3 linked regions of the Kluyveromyces lactis genome follow. Each later gene encodes a partner of the first gene's protein in a complex. Links are inferred from orthologs where the notes say so. Each region holds a gene or a part of one and is shown in the gene's direction. Other genes may lie near its edges. The genes, in order: SSL2, SSL1 and TFB4.

Region 1 (4,287 bases):
GCGGCACCTTTGTATGTATTATCTGTCAGGACTTCGTGTTCAAATGCAATCTTCTCTCTTTCGACTCTGGAGAAATGTTTTCTTTGTCCAGGCAATACTTCATCAACGCCAGCTGAAATCATTTGTTTCTTTGTTGAAGGTTCTTGTGATGATTCTTTGGAATTTTCAGTGGAATCAGATTCAGTTTCAAGAGGACGTTTGCTGTTGGTTTCGGTTTCTACTGCAGTTTCGCTATCGCTGCTATCGGAGTCGCTAGATGAGGAGGACGAATCTGAGGACGAATCTGAGTCTGAGTCTGAGTCTGAGTCTGAGTCTGAGTCTGAGTCTGAACTAGAGTCCGAACTAGAGTCCGAGCTGGAGCTAGAGCTAGAGTCTGAATCTGAATCTGAACTAGAGCTAGAGCTAGAGTTTGAATCGGAGTCTGAGTCAGAGCTTGAATCGGAGCTAGAGTCTGAATCGGAGCTAGAATCAGAACTAGATTCCGAGTCCGAGTTTGACGATTTCGACACCTTTACTTCCACTGCTACTGGCTCAGATTTTTCATCTTTTATCTTAATTTTGATGTCTTTTTCGTCCTCATCATCGGATTCTGAGCTGGCACTGGAGCTAGAGTCTGAGTCGGAATCAGAGTCTGAGCTGGAACTAGAGTCTGAGCTGGAACTAGAATCTGAGTCTGAACTGGAGTCTGAGTCTGAACTGGAACTGGAACTGGAACTGGAACTGGAACTGGAGCTACTATCAGAGTTCGATTCTGAATCTGAGCTAGAGCTTGAACTAGAGTCTGAGCCAGAATCCGAATCCGAATCTGAACCTGAACCTGAACCTGAACCTGAACCTGAACTCGAGCTGTCGCTGGAATTGGAACTAGACTCTGAACCACTTGACGATGATTTTACCTTTTTGTCATCTTTCTTCGTCAATTTTGGCACTGAAGACTTGGAACTTTGCTTCTTAACACTCATCTGTAAAAATTAGACTATTTCCTCACCCAAACCACTGGTGATCCTATCGTAATCGCTCTTGGATAAGATCTGAACCTACCTCATCGCAAGCTCATCTCGTTTGGATAACGCTATTAATCTCGAATTTTTTTTCAATACGTTTCTTTTGCCGTACTATGTGACGATGTCCTGAGGTGTGGTGTATGGGTTGTTTCAGTCTTACAACTACTAAAACTGTAAAAACAACTAGCAAAACCGGCCTTTTCGTCTATTCGGCAACCTCGTTGTTGTATTGTTAATCGTGGAACTACCTAGTGGTTGCAATGGTTATTAGTTGGTCATCCAACTCTAACTTATATTGGGTTTTTGGCTCATTCTGGTTATATTGTTTGTCCGGGTAATCATTTTTGCCTCAACATTATTAATCTGAAAGATGATTTTAAGAGAACTTTAACTTTAATTAGATGTTTAAGAATCAAAGTCCAAGGACGGACAAGGGAATTAAGGTCTATCCCCGGAGTCTATCTGTACACTAATTGTGTCATTATGGAAGATGAGGTAGTGAAGCGTTCATATCACACAAGAAGTAGAGGTGGAAAGGAGAAATTAGTGCAGGACACGGTTTTTTCAGATGACTCTTTGGTTACAGACGATGAAGAATACGGGGATATTGCCCCAGATATCGACGATGATGTCTTAGATGAAGAAGAGGAAGCTGAGTTAAAGGAATCTCTAATGCAGGCGAACGCTCCTGCTCCTCAAGTGAATCCTCTTTTGAGTCGGAAATCGAAGAAAAGTTCTTCTTCTTCTAGATCTGCTGCTGCTGCAACTGCTGGTAGTGGAATGAACCATAATCTAGCAGCAAAGGATGATATCCTTCATGCACATTTGGACGATATTCCCCCTGATTTTGAGCCTGACGTTGTTTCAGGAATGTTCAAGACTAACGATTTCAGCTACTTAAAATTGAAGCCGGATCATGCCTCGCGGCCTTTATGGATATCGCCTAACGATGGACGTGTGATCTTAGAATCATTCTCTCCATTGGCAGAACAAGCACAGGATTTTCTTGTGACGATCGCAGAACCCGTTTCTAGACCATCTCATATTCATGAGTACAGAATTACGGCTTACTCTTTGTATGCTGCGGTTTCGGTTGGTTTGGAAACTGAAGATATCATAGCAGTATTGGACAGATTGTCCAAGGTTCCTGTTGCACCTTCGATTATCAACTTCATTAAGAGTGCAACTGTATCATACGGTAAGGTGAAATTGGTCATTAAGCATAATAGATATTTCGTGGAAACTTCTCAAGCTGATATCTTGCAAATGTTGTTAAACGATCAAATCATTGGTAATCTAAGAATCGATACCGATGCTGCAGTGGATGCTGCGGTTAAGAAAACCATGGCGAATAAGATGGTAGATGCAGAGGGAGTGGATCCTAACGATGTGGAAGCTGTCTTTTCAGCTGTCGTGGGGGCCAATAAGGAACTTGAAGAAGAAGACGATGATATAGATGCGGTTCATGCTTTCGAAATTGACAATGCATCTGTCGAAATTGTGAAGAAAAGATGTCAAGAACTTGACTATCCGGTGTTGGAAGAATATGATTTCAGGAACGATCGAAGAAATCCAGATTTAGATATCGATTTGAAACCATCAACTCAAATCAGACCATATCAGGAAAAATCCTTGAGCAAAATGTTCGGTAACGGTCGTGCAAGAAGTGGTATTATTGTGTTACCATGCGGTGCTGGTAAGACTTTGGTCGGTATCACAGCGGCATGTACTATCAAAAAGTCTGTGATCGTGCTTTGTACTTCGTCAGTGTCAGTCATGCAATGGAGACAACAATTCCTTCAGTGGTGTACGCTCCAGCCTGAAAATGTTGCCGTCTTCACATCAGATAACAAAGAAATGTTCCAAACTGAATCTGGTCTGGTGGTCTCGACTTATTCCATGGTTGCTAACACTAGAAATAGATCGTACGATTCTCAAAAGGTTATGGATTTCTTAACGGGTAGAGAATGGGGTTTCATTATTTTGGATGAAGTACATGTCGTACCTGCAGCCATGTTTAGACGTGTTGTGTCCACTATTGCCGCACATGCAAAATTAGGTTTAACTGCAACTTTGGTGCGTGAAGATGACAAGATTAGTGATTTGAATTTCTTGATTGGTCCAAAACTTTACGAAGCTAATTGGATGGAACTTTCACAGAAAGGTCACATTGCTAATGTGCAGTGTGCGGAAGTTTGGTGTCCAATGACTGCAGAGTTTTACCAAGAATATCTAAGAGAGAATGCGAGAAAAAGAATGCTACTATATATTATGAATCCAACCAAGTTCCAGGCGTGTCAATTTTTGATTCAATATCATGAAAAGAGAGGTGATAAAATTATCGTCTTTTCAGATAACGTCTACGCTCTTCAAGAATATGCTTTGAAGCTAGGTAAGCCTTTCATTTACGGTTCCACGCCACAACAAGAGCGTATGAATATTTTGCAGAATTTTCAATATAATGACCAAATCAATACCATTTTCTTATCAAAGGTTGGAGATACTTCGATTGATTTGCCAGAGGCGACTTGTTTGATCCAAATTTCGTCTCATTACGGGTCTAGACGTCAAGAAGCACAAAGATTGGGTAGAATTTTAAGAGCTAAGAGACGTAACGATGAAGGGTTCAACGCCTTCTTCTATTCTCTAGTTTCTAAAGATACTCAAGAAATGTACTACTCCACAAAGAGACAGGCATTTTTAGTTGATCAAGGTTATGCTTTCAAGGTTATCACCCATCTACATGGTATGGAAAACTTGCCTAATCTAGCATATTCTTCTGCTAGAGAACGTAGAGAACTTTTGCAAGAAGTTCTTCTCAAAAACGAAGAAGCTGCAGGCATTGAAGCAGGTGAGGATAACGATAGCTACATTTGGAAGAATGGTGGGAACAAGAGACCAAGGAACAAATCTAAGGCTGTTAAGAGCGAAGGATCTTTGGCTGGTTTGGCTGGTGGTGAGGATATGGCATACCTAGAATACAGTTCCAATAAGAATAAAGACTTAAGAGATCATCATCCATTGATCCGTAAAATGTACTATAGAAGTGCAAATAAATGAACAATATTGGGTTTTATAATTTATCATCCGTATTAAACTGGCATACTTTAAACAGCAAATGAATCATCTTTCCAAAAATCGCATCACGAATCAGTTTTATAAAATCCTAATACTTAAATATACCACATATAATCACTATAAAAAGATGTTTTCGTCCGCTGTCTAAAATAAACAAAGAAATGATTGCTTTTGCACAGTGAATTTCAACAGTATTGATATTGTA
Region 2 (3,618 bases), about 300 kb from region 1:
GACCATGGTGCAGAAATGGTACGTTCTTTAATTGATATCTGGGAGGTTGAAGGTTTCATGCCGGATGGCAGATCTGGTGACAGATCTGGAAGAACACAAGGGGGTAGCAACTCAGATATCATGTTGGCGGATGCTTTCATTAAGAACGTTCATCAAGGGATCGATTGGGAGAAGGGCTTCCAAGCTATGTATACCAATGCAGAAGTGGAGCCGCCTTACATTGAGGACCCTATGGCTAACGACTCGACAAACAAATTTGGGAGAGGCGCTTTAAAAGAATGGCTTGAATTGGGGTACATAACAAGAAATTACTCAAGAAGTGTCACCAGAACTATGGAGTATTCGTATAACGATTTTGCCCTTTATATCGTTGCCAAAGGTCTCGGTAAAAAAGATTTAGCAAAGACATACCTTGAAAGATCGAAAAACTGGCGTAACATTTGGAACCCAAATGCTAAAAGTGTGAATATACACTATGACTACACCGGATTCGTACAACCTAGGAATTCTGACGGTACGTTTGCTCAACATAGATATGATCCGTTTACATGCTTTGGTTGCTATTGGAGAGACGATGAATATGAAGGAAAACCCGTGGAATATGGGTGGACGGTGCCTTTTGATATGAAGACTTTATTAGAATACATTGGTTCGAAAGCAATGTTTGAAAAACGTTTAGATGATATGTATGCGTTCTGTGGCCATGAGAACGTGGTTGATATTGGCAATGAACCAAGTTTTTTGACACCTTATCTTTACGCGTACATTAACAGACAAGATAAAACGTCAGCATTAGTGGATTGGATCATAAATACAAAGTTTAAGACGGGACCGCGTGGTTTGCCAGGGAATTCTGATGCAGGAGCCATGCAAGCGTGGCTAACCTTTGCCCTTCTAGGTTTTTATCCCGTGGCTGGTACTGATATTTATTTATTAACAAGTCCGAAAGTTAATTATTTGAAACTTAAAAGCATGCCTAACGTTCCAGATATTGAAATTTTTGCACATAACTTATATTCAGAATTTGGTGTCAGAAACAACTTCATTGAGAAAGTTGTTATCAATGACAAAGAACTCGATAAGAACTGGTTTAGACATTCCGAGCTATTCGAACACGGTGGTACCATCGAATACTACATGAGTGAAAAACCATTGGACTGGGATTCAGATAAAGAGTGTCCACCACAAGAATTCAGCGTTTAAGATTCAAGTATAATGGTGTAGTTCGTTAAATAAAATCAGTGATTATTAGGTTTTACATACAACCCTCGCTATTTTGTGTTGAAACTTTTTGATCATATGATCACATGATCAAAATCATGTAAGAAAATTTAGTGAATTTATAACAAGTGAAGCAAGATTTGAAGGTTAAAGAGTAACGCTACACCAATTTGGCTGAATAGACGTAGAGCTCCAGGCATTAGTCGATTTTTTAATTGGACTACATTTGGCTGTACTCTGGTCAAATTTTATTAATCGTTTTTGATTACGATAATGCCTCCTATTATAGATAGTGAATCAGACGATGAACGGATCATTGGAATCACTAACAAGAGACATAGACAAGATGGTCAGACCAAAGTGCTGAAAAACAAAGTGAAGAAGCATGTTAGAACAAAAGAAACTGCAGATTCGGATGGTGCAGGCAATGGGAATTCTAGTGATGATGAAGAGGATGAACGAGTTCATTCACAACTATCAAAGAGAAGTCGTGATCCAAGAAAAATGAAGAAGAAAAAGAAGAAGAAGCTGTCCAACAAGAACTTACAAGGTGTCAATGGTGGTTATGCCTGGGAAGATGACATTCAAAGAAGTTGGGACCTTGTCAAAGTTGATGATGAAGGCAATATCGCTGCTATTGTGGCAAGCATAGTTGAAGCAAGAAAAAAAAGGGCAGCAGAGAAGACGGTTACTCCGTATCAAAGAGGTATTATCAGAACCCTTATCTTGGTATTGGATTGTAGCGAAGCAATGATGGAAAAAGATTTGCGACCTAATAGATATGCAATGACAGTACAATATGCTGTAGACTTTATTCATGAGTATTTTGATCAAAATCCTATTTCTCAAATTGGTGTAGTTGTTATGCGTGATGGTTTAGCTCAGCTAATATCGCAGGTCAGTGGTAACCCTCAAGAACATATCGATGCTTTAAAGATGCTTCGTAGGCAAGAACCAAAGGGGAACGCTTCTTTACAAAATGCTTTAGAGATGGCTAGAGGTCTCTTACTTCATGTTCCAGCGCATTGTACTAGAGAAGTACTCATCGTTTTCGGTGCATTATCAACTACAGATCCAGGTGATATTCATCAAACGATTGGCTCATTGGTACATGAGAATATTAGAGCAAAAGTTATTGGTCTATCTGCTCAAGTCTCCGTTTGCAAAGAGTTGTGTAAGCAGACGAATTATGGAGATAACTCATATTATGGGATTATATTGAACGATCATCATTTTAAGGAACTATTCACAAGTGCAGTGACACCGTTACCGGTGAGCAAAGTGAACAAAGGGTTCACCTTGGTTAAGATGGGATTCCCTACCAGAGTATTTGAGGACACACCATCATTTTGTGCTTGCCATTCGACTCTAGTCCATGGTGGTTACGTCTGTCCCAATTGCAAAACTAAGGTTTGCTCTCTACCGACAGTATGTCCGAGTTGTGATTTGATGTTGATACTCTCAACACATTTAGCAAGATCGTATCATCATTTGATGCCTCTTAAGACTTTCCAAGAAGTCCCAGTGTCAGATAGCTTCCCTACAGACTATTGCTTCGGCTGCCAAAAGCGATTCCCCACCTTAAGAAATAACAAAACAGGCGAACTATTAACAAGCAGCAGGTACAGATGTGAAGAGTGTGATCAAGATTTTTGTATAGATTGTGATGTATTCATTCATGAAACGTTACACAACTGCCCTGGGTGTGAGTCCAAACCAATCAATGTAAATATCAAATGAATTTAACCCGCTAATCATTTTCTCGGTAGTTCCAAGAAGAAAATATCACAAGAACGACTTTTAAACATTGACTCAAATTGTATATAACATTGAATGGTTACTAAAAAAAAGGCACTCACATCCTTTACATCTATTTACAATGTACTCCCCCTGGGTTGGCTGGATACCGCTTTCCCTACAATTGTATAAATCTCATCTCCTAATCATTATCTGCTTGTTTAGTGCATCTCAGATTGTGACAAAATAAAAAGTAACGATTATTTTCAAAATTTTTCAGCTCATCGGAGAAATTGCAAAATGAAACCTCGAATAGAAAAGGCAACAAGATACCAACCGATTTTTCAACGACCTCACAAAAAAAAAATACTGTACTGAATAAACTTCCTGTTACCATCAAGTTTGTGCTATATCTCTAGGACAGGTAGGTTCTTTCAAACTTGAGATTCACAGGGAGTTCAACCGTACGTCTCTTTACATTTGCATTGGCTTCTTACTGTTGATTTTTCCAATCACTTTAGTCTGCTGTCAATCCGGTTTAACTGATTTCACTAATTAAATCGGACTCATCCTCTTCACAATTAAACATTTCTGTTAAGTGGTTGAATATACAGCAGAGATTGTTGCATTATTTTATTTATTTTGATATTTGACATCCTT
Region 3 (3,074 bases), on another chromosome or scaffold:
ATCTGTTTAGATCTTTTATTCGAATATGTAAGTAGTTCAAAGGTAGGAAGCTTATATTGATCCTGTTGCAGTAGACACCTAACGTCTTCCAGACTGATATATTTTTCATCATGGAAAGGCTCTTCTTCTATAGCCAACTCTTGTCCGATTTTCAGCAATGATAACAGTAATGTATTAGAAAAACCTTCATGTTCTCTTATGAATATGCCAAAACTTTCTGGAAGCTGCTTGAAAACATTTGACAAGACATAAAGTTGAATCTTTTTCGTATATTTAGCATCGTTCAAATAATGGCAGCATAAAGGCTTCCATAATAACAACCATTGTTCTATCGAAGATTCATCAAAGTGGTATTTATACCAATTTAGTAACACGTTAGATAAACACTTTCCAACTTGTGTACACAGAGTTTCCGCCCAGACCAAACTGAGACAAGTCTCAACGAAATTTGGTTTCAATCGCAGAATCACATATAGGTCGATCTGACCACTGAAGATGTCTAACAAATAATATTGAACTTTCATATTTTCTTGTAATGATAAAACAGTTTCAACCCACCCATAAAGCACCGTCTCCATCAGTGTACTCCCATACAAGTGGTTCATTAGCTGCAAAAGCTTCTCAAACATATTTCTCAATGGGATCTCCATGGACACAGTATTGTCAGTCCAAAAATCAATAACGTAATGAAATAAAAATATCCCCTGATCAATGCTGAACATAATTTCTTTCACAGTCATCTCAAATTCATTAGGTTTGTCGTTACCGCTGTTCTTACCTTTCTTTAAAACTTGGTATATCTTTAGCATTAACAGGCTCATCACATCAACACTCCGCACTCTTTCTTTATCGTTGATCCCAGTATCAGCAAGAATACCACTAATATCTTCAAAACAACATAAAAACTGATCACATTCATGCTGTGTGATGCTGGCCTCTGGCTTATACTTAAGAAGCCAGTGCTTCCATTCGCTTACAGCATCCACAGTCATGCTATGCAAACGCTCTCAAACACTACCTGTTGGAATATCAAAAAAAATTATAAACAGAAGACGATTAGCTTTGAGTACCGGTAACCTTTAATATTTGCTCACTGGATAACTAGGAAACAAATGGCAGCTCTTTCAGTAACACAAGATGACTCTCAGCGGTTCGTTCTTTGCTTGTGTCGATGTCTTGTTCATTATTTTTTTCGAGTTAAAGCTGCTACATTTTGGGGCCAATGTTTTCGGGCGGCCAGAAATTTCAAGTAACATGAATTTGGGAAAGGCACATTTAGAGTTGAAGCTGATCTTAAAGGAAGATCAAATCGTAGAGTAAAGCTAGACCCATAGATTAAATTAAAACGCTTCATATACCATAAAGGATCGAATACAACTTTGTGAAATCAGGTTTTTATTATTAATAGCCTTTTCTTTGAAAGAGGAAGCGGTTAAAATGGATGCCATCGCTGATACAGTGTTCCAAGGAACCAAATCGAAGACTCAAGAAATAGAGGATACGCCTTCTCTTCTCACTGTTGTGGTTGATACCAGCATTCATTCATGGGTCCAGCTTACGAAACAACAATCTGGTAGTGGTTCGGAAGGAAGTTCTGGTGAGAAGCAACTTATAGAGGCGTTGAAGTCCATCGTAGTGTTTTTGAATGCGCATTTGGCTTTCAATTCAGGAAACCAGGTGTGCCTCATTGCTGCACACTCCGAGGGTATGAAATATTTGTATCCATCGGCTGATTCGAAACCTAGTATGTCTATGGTAAGTTCTGACATGTATAGAGGGTTCCGTAATGTGGATGAGATAGTGGTGGAGCAATGGTATAGGTTGTTCAAGGAAGAATTAGAAGGTCAAGAGAGTAAGGTTTCGATGAAGAGTAGTTTAAGTGGAGCGATGTCCAGTGCATTAACTTACGTGAACAGAATCCTGAAGGAAAACGAGAATACAAGCTTGAGAAGTCGGTTGCTTGTGATAACGTGCGGTACATCCCAGGGGAAAGATGAGATATTCCAGTATATCCCAATAATGAACTGTATATTCTCGGCAACCAAAATGAAATGTTCCATCGATGTGGTTAAGATTGGTGGGGGTATAGAAAGCACTTTCTTGCAACAAGCAACTGATGCCACTAGTGGGGTGTACTTACATGTAGAAAACACAAGAGGTTTAATTCAATATTTATCAACGGCCATGTTTATAGATCCGTCTTTGAGAAATGTGATAATTAAACCAAATCAAGGGTCTGTCGATTTTAGAACTTCATGTTTTCTAACGGGTAAAGTGGTCGCTGTCGGATTTGTGTGTAGTGTTTGCTTATGTGTGCTTTCAGTGATACCTCCAGGTCAGAAATGTCCTGCTTGTGACTCGCCGTTTGACAGTAAGATTATCGCCAGACTCAGAAGAAAGCCTGTATTGAGCAATGGTGTACCGAAGAAGAAAAATGTTAGTAATAAATAGCATCGGGGTTTTCCATACCTATTTAAAGTACATATATAATCACTGTCAGCAACCACTATTTAAAATATCAAAGTCAAACTGATCACTATAGTAATGGTGTCTCTTTAAATGATCGATTCTCTCGTTTGAATTTGAAAACGTCATCGAACAATCTTGTTCCAGGCATCTTAGCCTGTAATTACCGTTCTTGAACGGATTATGAAATTCTTCGATATGTAATTCCATCCAATACTCACTAGCAAAGTTCCTTAAGCATTGCGTACATACGTTCTCGTGCATCTGGCTGACATGACTAGGGTACAATTCTATAGGAACCCATTCATGATCACAAGGTGGGTCTGAACAAAGCACGGCATTACCATTTAATTCATATCCCCCGCAATGCTCTTCTGATGATCTCCGTTTACTCATATATGACTAAGAGTACAGCACATTAGTGCATATCCTTCCAGTGCATTCGGTCCAGTTGTAGCGTTATAAGAAAGTTTTTTTGTCCACTATTGATTATTTTGATGATCCAAATAGTGAAAAGACAGACCAAAACCTTAAAGTTCTGAAGTTGAGTGATGAGATGAGATAACTAAAAGAAAACGGAGGCAATACATACCACCAGTTCAGTGATA

The links.
Region 2: SSL2 (region 1) and SSL1 share a complex: the UniProt entries of both Saccharomyces cerevisiae proteins name them as parts of the 7-subunit TFIIH core complex. The link is inferred for Kluyveromyces lactis from reciprocal best matches to the Saccharomyces cerevisiae genes SSL2 and SSL1.
Region 3: SSL2 (region 1) and TFB4 share a complex: the UniProt entries of both Saccharomyces cerevisiae proteins name them as parts of the 7-subunit TFIIH core complex. The link is inferred for Kluyveromyces lactis from reciprocal best matches to the Saccharomyces cerevisiae genes SSL2 and TFB4.

The regions. Positions count from the first base shown.
Region 1 is NC_006041.1:1,154,021-1,158,307, reverse strand, and holds SSL2 (TFIIH/NER complex ATPase/helicase subunit SSL2), read left to right. Parts: upstream 1-1,487; coding exon 1,488-4,064; downstream 4,065-4,287. Other genes in the region: SRP40 (Srp40p), read right to left, coding at 1-962. UniProt on the Saccharomyces cerevisiae protein: ATP-dependent DNA translocase. Component of the general transcription and DNA repair factor IIH (TFIIH) core complex. When complexed to CDK-activating kinase (CAK), involved in RNA transcription by RNA polymerase II.
Region 2 is NC_006041.1:850,093-853,710, forward strand, and holds SSL1 (TFIIH/NER complex subunit SSL1), read left to right. Parts: upstream 1-1,494; coding exon 1,495-2,961; downstream 2,962-3,618. Other genes in the region: KLLA0_E09593g (uncharacterized protein), read left to right, coding at 1-1,203. UniProt on the Saccharomyces cerevisiae protein: Component of the general transcription and DNA repair factor IIH (TFIIH) core complex, which is involved in general and transcription-coupled nucleotide excision repair (NER) of damaged DNA and, when complexed to TFIIK, in RNA transcription by RNA polymerase II.
Region 3 is NC_006038.1:755,935-759,008, reverse strand, and holds TFB4 (TFIIH/NER complex subunit TFB4), read left to right. Parts: upstream 1-1,437; coding exon 1,438-2,451; downstream 2,452-3,074. Other genes in the region: tRNA methylation protein TRM732, read right to left, coding at 1-992; KLLA0_B08547g (uncharacterized protein), read right to left, coding at 2,497-2,862. UniProt on the Saccharomyces cerevisiae protein: Component of the general transcription and DNA repair factor IIH (TFIIH) core complex, which is involved in general and transcription-coupled nucleotide excision repair (NER) of damaged DNA and, when complexed to TFIIK, in RNA transcription by RNA polymerase II.